Linked DNA regions of Cricetulus griseus. The protein of the gene in region 1 purifies or fractionates together with the protein of each later gene. This does not show direct contact. Links are inferred from orthologs where the notes say so. Each region holds a gene or a part of one and is shown in the gene's direction. Other genes may lie near its edges. The genes, in order: Aurkb, Sec16a and Ppp6c.

Region 1 (6,168 bases):
TTGCAGAAGTTGTACATGCCCAAGCTTTGGAACCCCCAAAATAGTTCTGGTCCTTCCCTTGGCAGGAAAATGCTCCCTTATGGCCACCAGAAGAGTGCACACTTATAATTACTCAAGAGATGGAATGAAACTCAAGAGTTAACTCAGCCTGGGCATTGGTGGCTCATGCTTTTAATCCCAGCACTCAGGAGGCAGATGTAGGCAGATCTCTGTGAGTTTGAGGCCAGACTAGTCTACAGATGGAGTTCCAGGACAACCTCCAAAGCAATACAGAGAGGCCCTGTCTCAAGAAAAAAAAAATGTTAACTCAGTGGGAATTGGTAATTTATAGAATTTGAAAACTCCTAGCAATCCTCCTGCCTCAGGCCCCAGAGTGGTAGAATTACAAGCCTAATGTTAGAATAAGAAACATTAAAGGATTTTTAAGAACAAAGCATTTACAGAAGAGTGGATTTTGATTTGAACTGTGTTCAAATCCCACAGCTATCAGGGACCCAGCACAGAAAGTTCCACCACTGGAAACCTCTTTCTAGGAACTCAAAGGACATTTAAGAAGAAATAGAAAAGGGATAAGCAAGCTGGGCCTGATACTGTGTGCTTGTAATCCAAGTACTTTGGGAGCTGTGATGAGAGGATCAGAATTTCAAGGCAAGCCTGGGCTATATAGTGAATTGGAGGCCAACCTGAGCTTAACAGAGAGACCTGTCTCAAATAAAATCCAAATACTAATCAGACAAGGAGAATAGGGAATCCAGAAACACAGATACATATTCTACAACCATGGATTCAGCAAATTGCTTGTCTGTCTGTCTGTCAAACCTTCAAATCCATCTGTCTCATCTAATGGATTACATCTGTATTGACTTTTCCTCCCTGCATCATACTCCCTCACAGAGAGCTTTACTACTGTTTCACAGTATTTCCATAATATTAGGTAGCTAGGTGATCTAGAGATTAGCCAAAGAGCCTGAGAGAGTTACAAACTCAATGCAAATCTATGTCCTATACAATAGTATGCCTGTTTATATAAGGAACCTGAGCACTCTGGATTAGGTAACGTAGGGCGTTCTAAAGATGATACCCCAAGGATACTTAAAGAGGATTGTACAATCATTAAGGGCAGCATTTAAATTCTCCTGCGAAATAGATAGTTTTTGCTGTTTGTTCATTTTTTTCCGAGACAGGCTTTCTCTGTAATAGTCCTGGCTGTCCTGAAACCAGGCTGGCCTCGAACTCACAGACATCTACGAGTCTCTGCCTCTCCAGGTAAAACAGTTTAACCAAAGGCGTGGGCATAATTGTCTCTCCATCTGGCAGAAAAAAAGTTTTACACACGCCCATACACAGAGAGGGAGAGGGAGAGAGGGGAGAAGAGATAGGTAACAATTAATCTTAGTGTGTTGTTTTTGAGACAGGGTTCTACGCCCTGTCTAAATCCTCCTCTACTCCGCTCCCTCCCCATGACAGGGTTTTTGTCTGTGTAGCCCTGATGGTTCAAGAACTCGCTGTGTAGACCAGGCTGGCCTCGCCGCACTCAGGGATCCACCTGCCTCTGCCTCCTGAGTGCTGGGATTAAAGGTGTGCGCCACCACTGCCCAGTTTAAATTTTTGTTATTGTTTATATTATTTATTATTATTATTATTATTATTATTATTATTATTATTATTATTAATATTATTATTATACAAAAGTGTGATATCTTGGGAAAGCAGCCTCAGCCTAGAGAAAGGAGCATCTCAATCCGCTTCTTGTTTTGCGTCTCAACCAGTTACGTCACAAGAAACGTAGCCAATGAAAGCGGGCTTGGGTGGCGGCTCAGCCAATGGGCTCAGAGCGGGAGATTTGAAAGTGTCGGAGTCGCGGAGCCGCAGGGCAGGCGGCTTCTCCAACGTGCGGGCGCCGAGCTGAGAGGAGAGCCGCTGCGCCGTGGGCTCCGGAGGGCGCGGGTGGTCCACGGCGTCCGGCTCCGTTGGGCGGGCCACGTGCCAGCCCGGCCGCCTAGAGGGAGGGGTGCGGAGAGGGGCGCACAGGTGCGCCCCGACCTCGGCCTGCGCGCTGGTTTCCTTCCGCCCGCCCCCGCTTGCGCTCCCCGCAGATCTCTGCATCTTCTCCCTCTCACCGCTGCTTCCCTCTCTGCCCAGCTCTCCTCCGGCTTTTCCTTGAGATGGCCCAGAAGGAGAACACCTACCCGTGGCCCTACGGCTCGCAGAAGGTAAGGTCCCGGCCACATTCCTCGCCCCACCTCCCTCGGAAGGCAAGTCCTCGGAGGCAGATGGAGCACCCTGCCGATGGCTGTCCTCTAAGCGCTTCCGACGTGTTCCCCAAGAGTTTGCATGCAGAGCCCAGTCTGATCACTTGCAGCCGTATCCTATCCAGATGTTGTCAACCTGAATCTGAGGGCTTCTGCAGAGCTGAGTCTGCTTGTCACATGCAAATAATAACTGGGACTGAGCAAGCAGCAGTATTGTGCTTTCGGGCGGTGAATCCCACCCTTTAGTCTGAGAAAATGAACTACACAGAAATTAGACTGTAGAATACAAAGTTACTGTTTAACAGGTCCAGGAAGGTCTAAATTTTATTTGTGAGGCTGGATAGCAAACCCAGGACCTCCAGTTTTGATGTACCATTGAGCTACGCTTCAGCCCCAGAATTTATATTAATGAGTGGTTGTAGCTAAGGATCCAAATAGATTTGAAATTGTGTGTGTGTGTGTGTGTGTGTGTGTGTGAACGCATGGGCCAATCTATACTGATATCACTGGGGGAGGTTTGTAGGCACCCTGGGGCCTTCTCTTGGCTGAAGAAATGAGAAACCTGTAATACAGCACATCTGTAATGAGCTTGGCAAGCTAATGGGACCCTGAGCCCTACACCAAAATGAAGAGCTCTTCAGTCTGTCCCCGTTGGTGGGACCTGGGCATCCTGGACAGCCCATCTGCTTCCTTGTCCCAGATTCTTCCCGCATGAAGCACCGAGTAAAACCGAGAAGAGTGGAGTCTGAGTGTGACACCACTGTTACACTCACCGTGGTCACTATCAAATGGAATGATCTATTACTCAGCGAAGTCTGAAAGTGAAGAAGTGGCTTGAGGCCTTGAATATCCCTCAGCATCCCTCTGGTGTGGCAACTTCATGAGCTCGAGCTCTTATGTGAGCCTGGATGAATGTGGTGTAGAGCTATCCAGATTGGACGGTGCTGTGCTTGAGCAGGTGGTGTGGGCCAGGGCCAGGTGAATTGTTAGGTGTCAGAGGGCATCTTCTCCCTTGTCTTCGATTGCTTTCTTCATTCATTCCTTTACTTTGTTTGTTTGTTGATGTTTTGTGGGGAGGATGAGGGTGATGTTAAAACAAGGCCTTATTTAGCTCACACTGGCCTTGAACTGACTGTTGAGGATTGTCTTGAACTCCTGATCAAGGGCCTCCACCTCCTAAGTGCTGGGGTTACTGATGTGTGCCAGGAGACAGGGTTTCTCTGTGTAGCTTTGGAGCCTATCCTGGCACTCGCTCTGGAGTTCAGGCTGGCCTTGAACTCACAGCGATCCGCCTGCCTCTGCCTCCTGAGTGCTGGGATTAAAGGCATGCGCCACCAACGCCCAGCCTCAGGTTGTTTCTTAATAACCCATTTCTTCTGGAGCAATGAGCAGACCTCTGGGGCTAGGTAGTCAAACCATGGTGTATCACTATTGTTTGAACTGTGAGTGGATGGATGGACTCTTTAACAAGTAGCTGAAACGGTGCTTATAGCACATTCCAGCTAGACCACAGGGACAAGAACACACTCAGAGCTTCCCTTTTTTCCTCAGTCTCATTCAGGCCTGAACACCCTGCCCCAGAGAGTCCTGCAGAAGGAGTCTGCTGTGACATCTGCACTTGCCCTCATGAACCGGTCCAATGGCCAGTCCACAGGTACCTGGGACAATGGGGAGAGGACTGGCCCAAGGGGACCAGAATCCAAGAGAGGGTATAAGGCGAGAATGTCAAAGAGGAACTCAACATGCCTGCTCTCTCCTTAGCTGCCCCTGGCCAGAAGTTGGCTGAAAATGTCAGTCGGGGCTCCAATGCCTTGTAAGTACCCCAGAGTAAGTCGGGGAACTTAAACTGTGGTGAGGCTGAAATGGGGAAATTAAAGGGAACACAGATAGAGAGAAATCAAACACCTTAGAATCTGAGCCAGCCAGCCCTGAGCTAGCTGCCTTCCCCCCACTTTATTAATCAGGCGGTCCCTCACTATTGACGACTTTGAGATTGGGCGTCCTCTGGGCAAAGGCAAATTTGGAAATGTGTACTTGGCTCGGGAGAAAAAAAGTCATTTCATCGTGGCACTCAAGATCCTCTTCAAGTCTCAGATTGAGAAGGAGGGAGTGGAGCACCAGCTGCGCCGAGAGATCGAAATCCAGGCACACCTGCAGTATGCTACTCACCCCTGGCCCTGGCCCCTCTGCCAACCTCATCACCCCACATTCCTATTTCTGCATCCCCAGCCCTGTCTTACACCATCTGGACCACCTACCCAGCTCTTCCTTATACTTCCACCCTGATCTAGGTCTTTGCCATCTGTCCTGTCTCCTAGATGCAAGCCGAAGCTTCCTTTCTCTTTGCCCCAGACATCCCAACATTCTTCGGCTCTACAACTACTTCTATGACCGGCGTAGGATCTACTTGATACTGGAATATGCCCCGAGGGGGGAACTCTACAAGGAACTACAGAAGAACAGAACTTTCGATGAGCAGCGGACAGCCACGGTCAGGATCCGGTGTGGGGCATGAGGCTGTGGCTATTGCTGGAAGTGGAGGCCTGTTTGACCTTCTGCTATGAACTCTCGTAGATCATGGAGGAGCTGTCGGATGCACTGATGTACTGCCACAAGAAGAAGGTGATTCACAGGGACATAAAACCTGAGAACCTGCTGTTAGGTCTCCAGGGCGAACTGAAGATTGCGGACTTTGGCTGGTCTGTGCATGCTCCCTCCCTGAGGTATGGTGGGGCTCGGGGGCTGTCCCTCGTGTGAGGCTGTGATATACAGCTCTTCTGCAAGTTGTTCCTTGAGATGGGGTTTGTCTCCATGCAATATAGATGTAGCAAAGTCTTTACAAAAATAGGTAACACAATAATTCATGCTCTAAATTTTCTACTCTTTCTATGAAATATAGTGGGCCCTCTCTTACCATATCATTGTGGAAACTCCCACATGATTGATTGATTGATTGATTGATTGATTGATTGATTGATTGAAACAGGGTCCTATGTAGCACAGAATGACTTCAAACTCACTATATAGCCAAAGATAACCTTAAATTTCTGATCACCCTCCAAACATAGCTGAGTTACAGGCAAGCATCACCATGTCAAGTTTACCCCTGCCGACCCTGTTCATTCTAAGGAGATACGGCCTCACCGAGTTCCCCGGGCTGTTTTTAAAGGCCCAGGTGCAAATGAGTATCTGGTATCACAGGCATACGCTGACATGCCTGGTTACCAAGGTCACATTTTATTTGATTTGGTTTGGTTTTAGTGTTGAGGATGGAACCCAGGGCATTGCCTATGTTAGGAAAATGCTCTTTCACTGAGCCACATCCCTCAGAACCGCTTCCCAGTTTTTTAACTGTTTGGTTTTTTTTGAGACAGCGTTTCTCTGAGTAGCCCTGGCTATACTGGAACTCACTTTGTAGACCAGGCTGGCGGCCTCAAACTCAAAGAGATCCACCCGCCTCTGCTTCTTCCTGAGTGCTGGGATTAAAGGTGTGCTTACTATTGCTTGGCCTCTTCTTTTTAATAATTTATGTGCATTGGTGTTTTGTCTGCATGCATGTCTGTGTGAGGGTGTCAGATCTTGGAGTTACAGATAATTGTAAGCTGCCATGTGGGTGCTGGGAATTGAACCTTGGTCCTGCAATCAGTGCTCTTAACCACCGACAAATCTCTCCAGACCTCCTCTTCACAGTTTTGTTTGTTTGTTTGTTTGGGCTTTTTTTTTTTTGGTTTTTTGAGACAGGGTTTCTCTGTGTAGCTTTGGAGCCTATCCTGGCACTCAAGCTGGAGACCACGCTGGCCTCGAACTCACAGAGATCCGCCTGCCTCTGCCTCCCAAGTGCTGGGATTAAAGGCATGCACCACCAACGCCCGGCTCTCTTTACAGTTTTTAGACAAGATTTTACCCTGTAGGCCTA
Region 2 (6,068 bases), on another chromosome or scaffold:
GTGGTGTTTCCCAGGAGCTCTTTGCCCCTTAAACATTTGCATTGCTTTTTTTTTTTTTTTTTTTTTTTTTTTTTTTTTTTTTGGTTTTTCGAGACAGGGTTTCTCTGTGTAGCTTTGGAGCCTATTCTGGCACTTGCTCTGGAGACCAGTCTGGCCTCGAACTCACAGAGATCCACCTGCCTCTGCCTCCCAAGTGCTGGGATTAAAGGCGTGCGCCACCAACACCCGGCCGATTTGCATTACTTTTAAGCAGGAGTATTGTACACACTCTCCTAAAATGTTTGTTCATAATGTTAATATTTAAAAAGAGAGTTAGCTTTTAATGAAATTATTTCTTAAAATATCCTGAAACAAAGCCGGGCTTGGTGACGCATGCCTTTAATCTGAGCCCTGGGGAGGCAGAGGCAGGCTAATCTCTGTGAGTTCGAGACCAGCCTGGTCTACAAGAGCTAGTTCCAGGACAGCCTCCAATGCCACAGAAAAACCCTGTCTCAAAAAAACAAAAACAAAAAATAAACAAACAAAATCCTGAAACACAAGCTGGAGAGGTGGCTCAGCTGTTAGAGTGCTGACTTGCTGCTCTTCCAGAGGACCTGGGTTCAACTCCCAGCACCCACATGGCAGCTCACAACATCTGTAACTCTAGTTCTAGGGGATCTGGCACTCTCACACAGACAAACATGCAGGCAAAACACCAATACGCATAGAAATAATATATCTTAAAATATATCCTGAATCATGTTAGGAGTATAATTAATATAATTTATAGTTGAGATAACTATTAAAAAGTATTATCAAGGCTGGGGCTGTAACTGTGGTACCTAGCTACACACCCGACTGTTCTTAAAGCCTTAAGTTTGATCCCTCACATCTCAAAACAAACCAAAAAAAGTGAAAAAGAACTTAATATAGAACTCTTGTAGTAGCTTTTCTTTTTTTCATCCAAATATGTATATTGAGAGAACAGTGACTGCCACATCATGAGCAGGAGGCAGCTGGTTCTTCCGGATTGGGGCTCGCTCTCTAGGCCATGCCTGTCCTTTCCTCCTAAGCTGTCTGCCTGCTCCAGGGCAGCTGGGTGGGTCTTCTGTGTGTCACTGCTGCACTCTCTCTTCATTCCTCACTTACAGACCCAGGCCGCTGGGATCGTTACTATGGGCCTCGCTTCAGGGATCCTCGCACCTGGGACCGGAGATACTGGTATGACTCCGAGCATGACCCATACAGGAAGGAAAACTATGCTTACAGTGACAGGTTAGTGAAATGTACACGTCTGAAGGAAGTGGGAGGGAGCTGAGGTGTGCTCTTGCTTGCCTTCCTCCTATCTTTGGAAGTAATCAACGATAGTTCTGGGCTTCTGGGAAGTGATCTCTTAGTGTCTGAAAGAGGAAGTATTGGCCATCTCTCCCTATACCCCCCCCTTCTGGCCTATGGAAGAAGAACTGGCTCAAATGTGCTCCTTCCCAGTGGCTCTGGGAGGACTTTAAATCTGCCTCCTTTCTTCGGTGTCTTTTCTCCATCCTGCCCATAACCCAGGGAAGGAACCACCCTCAAGTTGCACCTGTACTGTGTTCTCTGAGATAACCTGCATCTGAACCTAGGATTTGGTTTCTTGTGCCGGGCCTGCAGGGTTAGCTATAACTAACATTCTTAAGGATGAAGATAGCCTCAGGGTAGAGGGACAAAGGGAGGGCAATGAGCAGTGAGGGCTAACTGCAGCCTTGGGAAGTTCCTGGGTAGTTATGTGGTGTCCCAGGGAGTTGCCCTTCCAATCCCCTGCCTCAGTCCCCTGTTTCCTCTAGGCCTGAGAAATGTGATGATCACTGGAGATATGACCCTCGTTTCACGGGGAGCTTCGATGATGACACTGAGCTCCACAGGGACCCCTATGGAGAAGAAGCAGACAGGCGCAGCATCCACAGTGAGCACTCGGCTCGGAGCCTGCACAGCACTCACAGCTTGCCTAGCCGCCGGAGCAGCCTCAGCTCCCACTCACATCAGGTGTGCTGGGCAGGCTTGGCAGGGGGAAGAGCAGGTGTTAAGTCTTGGCCACAACTTTGTCTTTGCCTAGTTCTAACGGTGTACCCACAGTCTTTCTGGTGTTCATGGGAACTCATTTTCTCTGCTTGATTTCTCTCCCAAGAGTCAGATTTACAGAAGCCACAATGTGACTGGTGGTTCCTTTGAAGCCCCTCATGCCCCAGGCTCATTTCATGGTGATTATGCCTATGGCACGTATGCCAGCAATTTCAGCGGTGCCCATGGTTTTCCAGAGTACGGCTACCCTGCAGACACCTCCTGGCCTGCTGTGGAGCAAGGTGCGTCTCAGCAGTTCAAATTGAAGCCACCAGGTTGGGTTAAAACAAGGGAGTCCAATCAGCTCCTCTGCACGCTGTACCCACTGTCCCGAATGTCATGGCTTGTTGGTACAGGCCAGTGCTGGCCCTTGGTCTGAGACCTGTCTGCTTGACCACATGTGCATTGTTAATGTGTAACTTTGAGTCCACTCAAGCCTTGGGTCGCTCTTCTCTATGTTCCCACACTGGCAAGTGGATAAGCAGTCTTGGAACTCCAAGTTCCCCTTGAGAGACTCTTGTTCTGATTTGTGCCAGTATCCCACCTCCTGAAAGGTGTAGCTTTAAAAAGGTATAGCTGAGAACTCTCCTGACTAAAGCACCAGTCAATGAGAAACGGTTTTTGTGTATGAGTTGCTCAGCTCTTTTGCTCTTGGATGCTCTGTGACAGTTAGCCTGAAGCTGAGCTGGGCAGGGAGCCTGAGCTGGGAATCTGGTGCAGAAGCTGTTAGACATGGCGAGCTAGCTTATTGTTTTTCTTCCTGTTTATTTAACTTCAGTTCCATCAAGACCGACCTCTCCTGAGAAATTTACGGTGCCTCATGTCTATGCCAGGTTTGGTCCTGGTGGTCAGCTCCTTAAAGTGATTCCCAACCTGCCTTCAGAGGGACAGCCTGCCCTGGTGGAGATCCACAGCTTGGAGGTAAGCATGGACCCGTGGCTCTCTCTGCACCCCTTGGAAATCCTTGGGAAGTGTGCCTTCCTGAGAAGCTTAGGCCTCTAGGGCTTTTGTTCTATTTAGAGGCTGACTCTTCTAGAACTCAGCACTTTAAGCAGGTGCTGTGGTTGTTAGATATGGGTTGATTGTATGTGCTCTTCTGCTTCCTTTCATGTTTTGACAGTGTTTTTTTTTTTTTTTTTTGTGTGTGTGTGTGTGTGTGTGTGTGTGTGTGTGTGTGTGTGTGTGTATTTTAACTAATGGAATGAGATTGGGGGCACACTTTCTCTGTAGCCTCAGAAGCCTCTCTTGTCATATCTGTCAAGACCCAAATAAGTTTTTCTGTTTAAAATTTGAAAACCTCCATTGTAGTTCATGCATGCTCATATAATTGTACCAAGCACCTTCACCCTCTGGATGGAGGGATGAGCGTGGTCCCAGAATTGGCTTTGTAACTCAGTCTGCTGGAGGTCGTACATGTGAACTGCTTTTCCCCTCTCATTGCAGACCTTGCTGCAGCATACACCCGAGCAGGAAGAGATGCGCTCCTTCCCAGGACCTCTTGGAAAGTAAGGCTCCTTGTTGCGATGTCTTTTGACAAAATGGCATAATGGCAGCTGCTAAGTTTGGCTCACAGTTTTGGTACCACCATTCACTGAGTGTTCATTCTTTCCCCAGAGATGATACCCACAAAGTAGATGTTATTAACTTCGCACAGAACAAAGCGACAAAATGTTTACAGAATGAGAGTTTAATTGACAAAGAGTCTGCAAGTCTTCTTTGGAATTTCATCATTCTGTTATGCAGACAAAATGGGGTATGTTCTCTTTTACTTTTTAATGTTCTCTCTGTTTGCCTTTAGTCTCAGAATCTGTTTCCTATTCCTGTCCTAAGCTGTGGGCAGTGTCAAGCCTTCTGTACAATGCTTCCAGTCATGCCATGCTTCCTTGGGAAGAGCATCATGGCCACAACCTGGGAAAGTAGGAAGAAAGGGAGGTGTAAGATTTGTCATGAGCTGACACCTCAGGCCTTCCCTGCCCACATGAAAAGTCAGGCTTCTTTCCTGAGGTCTAACATGTGCTACCTATGCAGACCTGGCCAGGTTCTGACAGCATGGGAATTTGTCATCTGGCTAGAAACCCTGTTTCTAATAAAATCTTACGCTGCTTCCCATCTGACCCTGTAGACCGTGGTGGGAACAGACATTGCAGAGCTTTTGTTACGAGACCACAGAACTGTGTGGCTTCCTGGGAAGTCACCCAATGAAGCAAACTTGATAGATTTTACTAATGAAGCCGTGGAACAAGTGGAAGAGGAGGAGTCAGGGGAGGCCCAGCTCTCATTTCTCACAGACAGTCAGACGGCAACCACCAGCGTGCTGGAGAAGGAGATTGAGCGGTTCCGTGAGCTCTTACTATATGGCCGGAAGAAGGTAGGCAGCCCTGCAGATGTTTCTTCTAGTGTCTGTCTGTTGGCCCAGGGAAAAGACCAACCTCCTCTAGGAGGCAACTGCAGCAAGTGCTGTTTAGGGATGATATCTGGCCCTTTGCCTGATATCTCTGAAGGTATTAGTAGTGTTTTCTCTGAGAAGGGCCCATGTGGAAATCTGGCCAGTTCAGTTTACAGTCATTTAGAGAGGATGTGTGCTCATCTGTGTGCAGAGTCCTGGGATGAAGTCTTCTTAAAGACTGAAGTTTCAGGCCAATCCTGTGTATTTTTGTTAATTCAGGTTTTATATAACTCAGGCTGACAGTGTGCACAAGAGTGTTGAAAGTAGCTGGGCAGTGGTGTCACACGCCTTTAATCCCAGCACTTGGGAGGCAGAGGTGGGGAGAATCTATGAGTTCAAGGGCAGCCTGGTCTACAGAGCAAGTTTCAGGACAGCCAGGGCTACACATGGAGAAACCCTGTCTTGAAAAACAACAACAAAAAGAGTGCTAAAAGTGTGCACATTGGGTCAGAGGATGTGCTGAGCATGGGAGGCACTTCATAGTGGCTCATAGAGTTCTCTGTGTCAAGCACGTCTATCTAATAGGTCTAGTTCTCTGTCCTTCACATTATGATCAACTTAGGAAGTTCATGTTTTTAGTCTGGTGTGGATCTAAGAATTGAACCGAATCATGGGCGTGATAAGCATACACTTTCAAATAGACTCCACCTTAGAAAGTTTGTGGCCCAAAGCATCATCATATCCCCGAAGTTCTTGATTTCAAGTGTGTGCCACCACACCTGACTAGAAAGCTTAGTCTGTGAAACAGTCTTGCCATGTTACCCAGGCAGGCCTTGAATTTCTGGGCTCAAATGGTGGTCTTCTCTCTGTTTCCTGAATAGTTGAGACTACAAGTGTGTGCCCTCATGCTCAGAATAAAATTCATGTGTGGTCCTTAAGATTTTAATATGGATGTTTCACATATGGTTGGAATCATAGATCCTATTGGCTTTTGTGAATATTTTACTTCTATTGGTAAAATTTTACCTACTGGCCAAAAGTGCTCAATTTTACCACAGATTATTTGGGGTAAAGGGAGAGACTAAGTTGAGGATGCTGTTTGTTTGGAGAGTGTATTCGGGGTAGCCATATGTCACCTGGATGGGGAACCCACGCTGATACTGCATTCTTCACGTTGTTTCTAGCTGGTGTGCTGGTTCCTCACATAGAAGGGAGACTAAAATTACTAGGTACTCACTAGAGAGAAAGGGCAGAAGGACAAGGCTGTACTGTCATCTATAAACCATGAACATATTTGTCTTTTGAGGTCAAAACCATATTCATCGTTTTTGTGTGTGTATGCATGAAAACATGTGGTTCTGCCTGGTCTAACAGTAAGCAGCACTCTGATCATTCTCATGAGCCCTGAAATGCATTGCAGGATGCTCTGGAGTCTGCCATGAAAAATGGCTTATGGGGTCATGCTCTGCTGCTTGCAAGTAAGATGGACAGCCGGACACATGCTCGTGTCATGACCAGGTGAGTTAGTACCCATCCAGTTGTGTAACCCGACTTTGGTACTCAAATATCATTCCTCTGCTTGTGGGGCTTTCAGCTGTGGAGTCAT
Region 3 (6,168 bases), on another chromosome or scaffold:
GTGCTCACATTCATGTACCTGTTCTCAGGCTGTGAGACTCATGTCTGTAACTCAGGGGTATGAATCTTTTGGAGATTCAAACCAGTAACACATCATTCATTTACTCTGGGAGTTTCATGCCTGCAACTCATGGTGCACTAACTGTGGGAGACTCAAACCAGAACTGTACATGTACAAAGCATTCATGATACATGCACTATGGGAGGCTCATATTTATTACCCACAATCATGTTCTGTGGGAGTCTCAAACCAGTCACCCAGCACTCATGGTACACGTACTAATGGGAAGCTCAGTCCTGTATCTCAGCACTCTTCGTGCATGTATTTACACCACTAACCTAGCACTCATGGTTTATCTACTGTGGGAGCCTCACACCTATACCCAAGCAATACATGTATGGCGGGGGGGCTTCGCATGAGCGGGGACTTTCCTAGCCACTCCCTTTAAATCCTCTCTCCGGCCACATCTCCGAGTGAAAGAAGTCAGGGTCAGGGAGAAATGGCTGCCTGCTTTCCGCTAATGTGGCCGGCCGGAGAACAGGGACACTGTCCCTTCCACCCAGCTAAGGCACACTTAGGCAAGGTGACCCGCCCAGAGACCTCCAGCCCAGCACCAATTACTGGCTGCAGCCCTGGCTTGTCCAGGATGTGGCTCCACCCATAGGTGGAGCTTAGGAGCCCGCCCCCTTCCTCAGGCCATGGAAGCCGTCCAGACCAACTGCTCTGTGCCTCCCAGGTCTCCAAACTAACCTAATCAATCACTCGTTTAGCTACTTGAAATCTAACCAAAATTCATGGACAAAATAGAATTTGGGGGCTTCAGCTGTCTTCACTTCCTTGCCATGTGTTTTTAACACCTGAACTCTTCATAACTTCCTGTAGTTAGTAGAAAGTTTCCCAGAGACTGCCGAAGAAGAGTTTAGAGGTATACACTCACTCTGCTTTCCTTCTGGGAAGAGGACCAAGGCCAGGTTGGCTCTGGTCATGTGCCCAACATATATTTAGACAGAATTACTGTCAGAGCTCCAGAATGCTTTGATGGGGCATGTGTCTTTTGACTAGGATTACCTCAAGATGCCATGCTAAAGGGGTATATTAACAAGAAAAACTGGAATATCAGATAGTTTACACTGTAGGAACTAATCCTTTAGAATAGAAATCACATTCCTGAATTCTAGGAATGTTTGAGTTCTGTTTTTAAAATGGGAGTCAAGGGGCTAAAGAGATGGCTCAAACAAAACCAACCAACCAAAACAAAAGAAAATCCAAGTAAGTTTGACCATTTTGCATCTCTACTTAAAATCCTACAATAGTTGCCCATTGCATCAAATGAAAAATAAATGGGTGTTTCCTTTTTTCCTCTGATCTCCACATGGTAGGGTCTCTCCCCAAAGGCTCGTGATATGCTTAGGAATGCTTCATCAGCGATCTTCCGGAGACTACCACCTTGGTGGGTTTTGTGGGTTTTTTATTTTGTTTTGTTTTGTTTTGTTTTGTTTTGAACAGGGTCTCCTGGTTGACAACTTGCTAACTTAGACCGAGCTATCCTAGAGCTCACAGTTATCCATTTGCCTCTCCAGGGCTGGGGTCAAATGTGTGCTCCACTATCGATGGCTGATTGGTTAATTCTTTTTCTAATTTTTTTTTTAAAGATTTATTTATTATGTATACAGTGTTCTGTCTGCATGTTTGCCTGCAGGCCAGAAGAGGGCACCAGATCTCATTATAGATGTTTGTGAGCCATCATGTGGTTGCTGGGAATTGAACTCAGGACCTCCAGTGCTCCTAACCTCTGAGCTATCTCTCCAGCCCCTGATTGGTAGAAAATTACAGGTTGGAAACAGAATATATATTCTTAAATTTTTATTATTTTATTTATTTTTGTCTTCAAGTGGGTTTGTGAATTACATCCATACAGTGCCCCAGAGACCAGAAGAGGGTGTCTGATCCCCTGGAACTGGGCTTACAGGATTTGTGAGCAGCCTTGTGGGTGCTGGTAATAAAACTTGGATCCTGGTCCGGAAGAGCAGCTAGTGCTCTTAGTCACTGAGCAATCTTTCCAGCCTCAAGGATAGAGATTTTCGTCTACTGTGGTCACTAAGCTCCTACAAGCTATCTGTACTTAATTACTGCTCAATATACAGTCGTCAAATGAACCAATGTTAAAGCTATATTAGATGTCAAGAACTGTTCTTAACACGAGGATACGACAAAAATCAAACAAAGTAAAAGCAACAAAAACTAAACCCTTCTTGCCGCCCCCTGGGACTCACACATTTAATCAAGTCAGTAGTCTGTTTTTTTAGTCTAGGCTCCACCTTTTTTGTTTCCTTTGATATTTGGGGGAAGTAACACGTGCAAATTTTGCACGCCCTTCGGTCTTACAAGAAAAGGAAAAACAGCGCGCCAGTATTTGTACAGAATTTAGCCTAAGAAATGCTTTAATATTTGTTTGTTTTCTTCCAAGCCAGAGAATTGGGTGTGTTAAATCTGTTCTACACATCTAGGCCGGGGTCTTCACTAGCCCTGGAAAGTCGGCAAGTTACCCTAACTTTAACTGAAAATGCTGAGTGCTAGGGAAAACCTACTTATTCACTTGGTAGTCTTCCCGCAGAAAAGCCTCATCTGATTTCCCTGACATGAAGGGTAGGAAAGGAAGAGCATTCGGATTCACGAAAACTACAAATCCCAGCATCCTCCGCGGCAGACAGCTACGGGTCCCAACAGGCTTTGTCAGCAGGACCCCCGGAGTTCGGCCTGAGAGGGCGCAGGGCGTGTCGAGGCGCGGAAGAGAAGCAACTCAGGTTTTGACGTCGCTGCGCAGACGCCACTCACGGGTCGGACGTGACGTAAGGAGAGTTCCGGCTTCGGCCTCCGCCGCTGCCTCCAGTACTACCGCTGCCGCCGCCGCCGCCGCTGCCGCCGCCGCCGCCCCGCCGCCACCGCGGCTTGTTCTGCCTAAGATGGCGCCGCTCGATCTGGACAAGTATGTGGAGATCGCGCGGCAGTGCAAGTACCTTCCCGAGAACGACCTGAAGGTGAGCCGGGCCGGAGCCCGTCCTGCTGGCGAGGCAAGCCCCTTCCGGCCGTGGGGCGTCCGCCGGCCGCCCTTCTCCCCCGGCCGGACCCCGACCGGGCACCCGGCCCTGGCGCGGCGGAGGGCGCTGCGCGGTGCGAGGCCACCGGGCCCGACGCGGCGAAACGCGGAGAACCAGCGGAGCCCGAGTTCCCCGAATGCTGGCGCGGCTCCCTGAGGGGGTCCCGGGCATGTGCGGTCCCCCGGCCCCCCCTGGCTCAGCCTCTTGGGCTCTGACACGCTCGGTCTGCCAGCGGGCAGGGCTCTCGCGATGGGGTCCTCCCGGCAGAGGGGACAGGAGCTGCTGACGGCCCCAGGACGCGGGTGTCCGCAGTGTGTTTAGGAAGCCGGTGGGCGGGATCGGTTGACAGTAGTAGGACATTGTCAGTCGCCTGAGCTTCACCACTCCCCCAAATTGCTCCCTAATTAGCAGTGCTAGTTTTCTTCTGATAATTCGGATGGGGATCCCATTTCTCAGCACGGTGCTGAGCTATTTAAGTGAACAAGCGGTCGCTTATCAAGAGTGCAAATGCTTTTATGACCTCTGAGCTGTTCCCCCATAACCCAAAGTGTCGTTTTCTTCGTTTCTCAAGGTCTCACCCAGCTCAAGTTAAGAGTGTTGAAAGAATGAATGTAAAGGAAGCAAGCCGTTGGTAAACCACTGTTTTCAAACGTATTTTGCTTCTGCTAAAGCTAGTGCTTAGGTCTCCATTGGTGTTTATACGATGGTTGCTAGTTTTATTCCATTACCTTTGATTTACTGTGTGGTAAATACATAAACGCTCTCGATCACTTGAATTCTTTTAGGCTGTTTTTGTAATCATTTTAAGTCATGGGCTTAAAACTTTTTTCAAGAAAAAAATCTTGCTGATGAATTATATTTCTCCTAGGCAAGATGTTGCTCTGTGTGCGTTTTCCTGTCTCATTTGATACATGAAGTTGATCAAACAATATGCAAAATGTTTAAGATCACGTGTGCTGTTTGTGTGAAAGTACCTAACTTGTACTTAAATATTGATTGTATGTGTTACGTGGTTGGTATTCACATGTTCAGCCACCTGCATCTTTCAGTCATTTGGCTCTTCTTTCTGCTTGGTAATTTTTTTAGTTTTGTTTTCTGTCTGAGATAGCATCTTAAGATAGGTCTTGCTGGGGCTGGAGAGATGTCTCCGCGGTTCAAAGCACTGGTTGGTCTTCCAGAGGACCTGAAAATTCTATTCCCAGCAAGGACATGGCGGTTAACTCCTGTTCAAGTGATGTGATGCCCTCTTCTGGCCTTTGCAGGCATCAAGGCACATACCTGTTTCACAGACATACATGCAGGCAAAAAGTCATACACAAAATAAAAGTAAATCTTAAAAAAAAAAAAAAAAGTTCATCGTGGCCTCCAACCCACTAAATACCTGAGGATGACCTTGAATTCTGATCCTTTTGCTCCCACTTATCAAAAGCTGCAACTTAAACTACCATGCCTGGCTGCTCTGTGCTTATTCTTTCTTTTTTTATAAATAAATAAGATTTAGTTTTAATTAGTGTTTGTGGAGGGAGGAAGAGTATGGGCACATGGTGCCTTTGGAGGTCATCCTGGAGCTGGAGTTACAGGCAGTTTGTGAGCCACCAGATGTAGGTGAATAAAACTGAACTCAGGTCCCTTATACAGTCTAAGTGCTGAGCCATCTCTCCAGTTCACACGCACACACAGGATTATGTAGCCCAAGCTTGCCTAGAACCCCTGGGTCTGCTTCTACTTTAATAGTGGTTTATTCTATTTTATTGTGGTATGAGGATTGAAATTAATTTTGAAAAGTTTTGTTATTTTTATTTATGTTTTTGTATGTATGCCTGTGTGAATTTATGTGTACCGGTGCTGGCAGAAGCAGAGAGCATCCTAACCCTGGAATTGGATTTATAGGTGGCATGAGCTAACTGATGTAGATGCTGGGGGTCAAATCTGAGTCTTCTACAAGAAAAGTAAACCTTTTGTTTTGTTTTTCCAGACAGGGTTTCTCTGTGGCTTTGCAGCCTGTCCTGGCACTCGCTCTTTAGACCAGGTTAGCTAGAACTCCCAGAGATCTGCCTGCCTCTGCCTCCCGAGTGCTGGGATTAAAGGCATACACCACCAACATCTGGAGAAAAGTAAACTTTTAACAGCTGAACCATTTCTCCTGTTGTATGCTTTTTAATTTTATTTATTTATTTTGTTTATCAAGACAGGGTTTCTCTGTGTAGCCCTGACTGTCCTGGAACTCCCTATAGACCAAGCTGGCCTTGAATTCAGAGATCTACCATGTATGTCTCTGTCAGGGTATGTGCACCTGAGTGCAGACACCCTCAGAGGCCAGAGGCATTAGATCTCTCTGGAGCTGCAGTTACAGGTAGTGGTAAGCAGCCTGACGTGGGTGCTGGGAATAGAACACAGGTCTTCTACAAAAGTAGTTAACCACTTTGTCGCTTCTTCAGCCCCACATGTACATGTCTCTTATAGACTTCCATACGGCCCCCCACTCCTCCCCACCCCCCCCACCAAAGTTTTTGGGTAACTATTGGGTAGAATTTTTTTCCCCTATCCTAGAAACAGTTTTACCAGATTGATTTGCATGTGCTGTCAGTCTCTGGTATATTTTCTGTTTGCTTGATTGCTTATTTATTAAGTTTTTACCCTGCAGTCCAGTTCTTGACTGGAACTCAACTATGTAGCCCATCCTAACTTTGAGCTAGCTACAATTGCAATCTTCCTGCCTCAGTCTCCTGAGTATTAGAATTACAAAGGTGTGCCAACATTCTTGACTAGTGTTTATGAAATTCAGTTTTAGTTACTCTTGATGGAAAATGTGTTTAATCCCAGCACTGAAAGCAAGAGGCAAGTGGATCTCTGTGAGTTTGAGGTCAGCCTGGTTTACATAGTGAGTTCCAGCCCAATCTGAGCTGCATGGTGAAATTCTATCTCAAATATAAAATAAATAAGAAAGGAAGGAAGGAAAGCAGAAAGGAAAGAAACTCAATTTTATTTGTGTTCCCTGGCATAAAGTACAGACTAAAAACAGGTAAGCCAAGGAAATATTCTAAGAGACTTTTTTTTATGTGTATGAATG

Evidence for each region.
Region 2: the proteins of Aurkb (region 1) and Sec16a purify together in Homo sapiens (affinity purification with mass spectrometry; 3 studies listed by BioGRID and IntAct, with this or other methods). This does not show direct contact. The link is inferred for Cricetulus griseus from reciprocal best matches to the Homo sapiens genes AURKB and SEC16A.
Region 3: the proteins of Aurkb (region 1) and Ppp6c purify together in Homo sapiens (affinity purification with mass spectrometry, with the first as the bait; 3 studies listed by BioGRID). This does not show direct contact. The link is inferred for Cricetulus griseus from reciprocal best matches to the Homo sapiens genes AURKB and PPP6C.

The regions. Positions count from the first base shown.
Region 1 is NC_048600.1:82,920,333-82,926,500, forward strand, and holds the start of Aurkb (aurora kinase B), read left to right. Parts: upstream 1-1,852; 5' UTR 1,853-2,165; coding exon 2,166-2,213; intron 2,214-2,952; exon of another isoform or gene 2,953-3,230; intron 3,231-3,803; coding exon 3,804-3,906; intron 3,907-4,013; coding exon 4,014-4,065; intron 4,066-4,216; coding exon 4,217-4,408; intron 4,409-4,570; coding exon of another isoform or gene 4,571-4,604; coding exon 4,605-4,743; coding exon of another isoform or gene 4,744-4,756; intron 4,757-4,826; coding exon 4,827-4,975; intron 4,976-6,168. UniProt on the Homo sapiens protein: Serine/threonine-protein kinase component of the chromosomal passenger complex (CPC), a complex that acts as a key regulator of mitosis.
Region 2 is NC_048599.1:137,817,564-137,823,631, reverse strand, and holds part of Sec16a (protein transport protein Sec16A), read left to right. Parts: intron 1-1,130; coding exon 1,131-1,254; intron 1,255-1,802; coding exon 1,803-2,001; intron 2,002-2,143; coding exon 2,144-2,318; intron 2,319-2,854; coding exon 2,855-2,997; intron 2,998-3,519; coding exon 3,520-3,581; intron 3,582-3,690; coding exon 3,691-3,829; intron 3,830-4,198; coding exon 4,199-4,444; intron 4,445-5,882; coding exon 5,883-5,980; intron 5,981-6,068. UniProt on the Homo sapiens protein: Acts as a molecular scaffold that plays a key role in the organization of the endoplasmic reticulum exit sites (ERES), also known as transitional endoplasmic reticulum (tER).
Region 3 is NC_048599.1:150,485,507-150,491,674, reverse strand, and holds the start of Ppp6c (serine/threonine-protein phosphatase 6 catalytic subunit), read left to right. Parts: upstream 1-2,844; 5' UTR 2,845-2,963; coding exon 2,964-3,038; intron 3,039-6,168.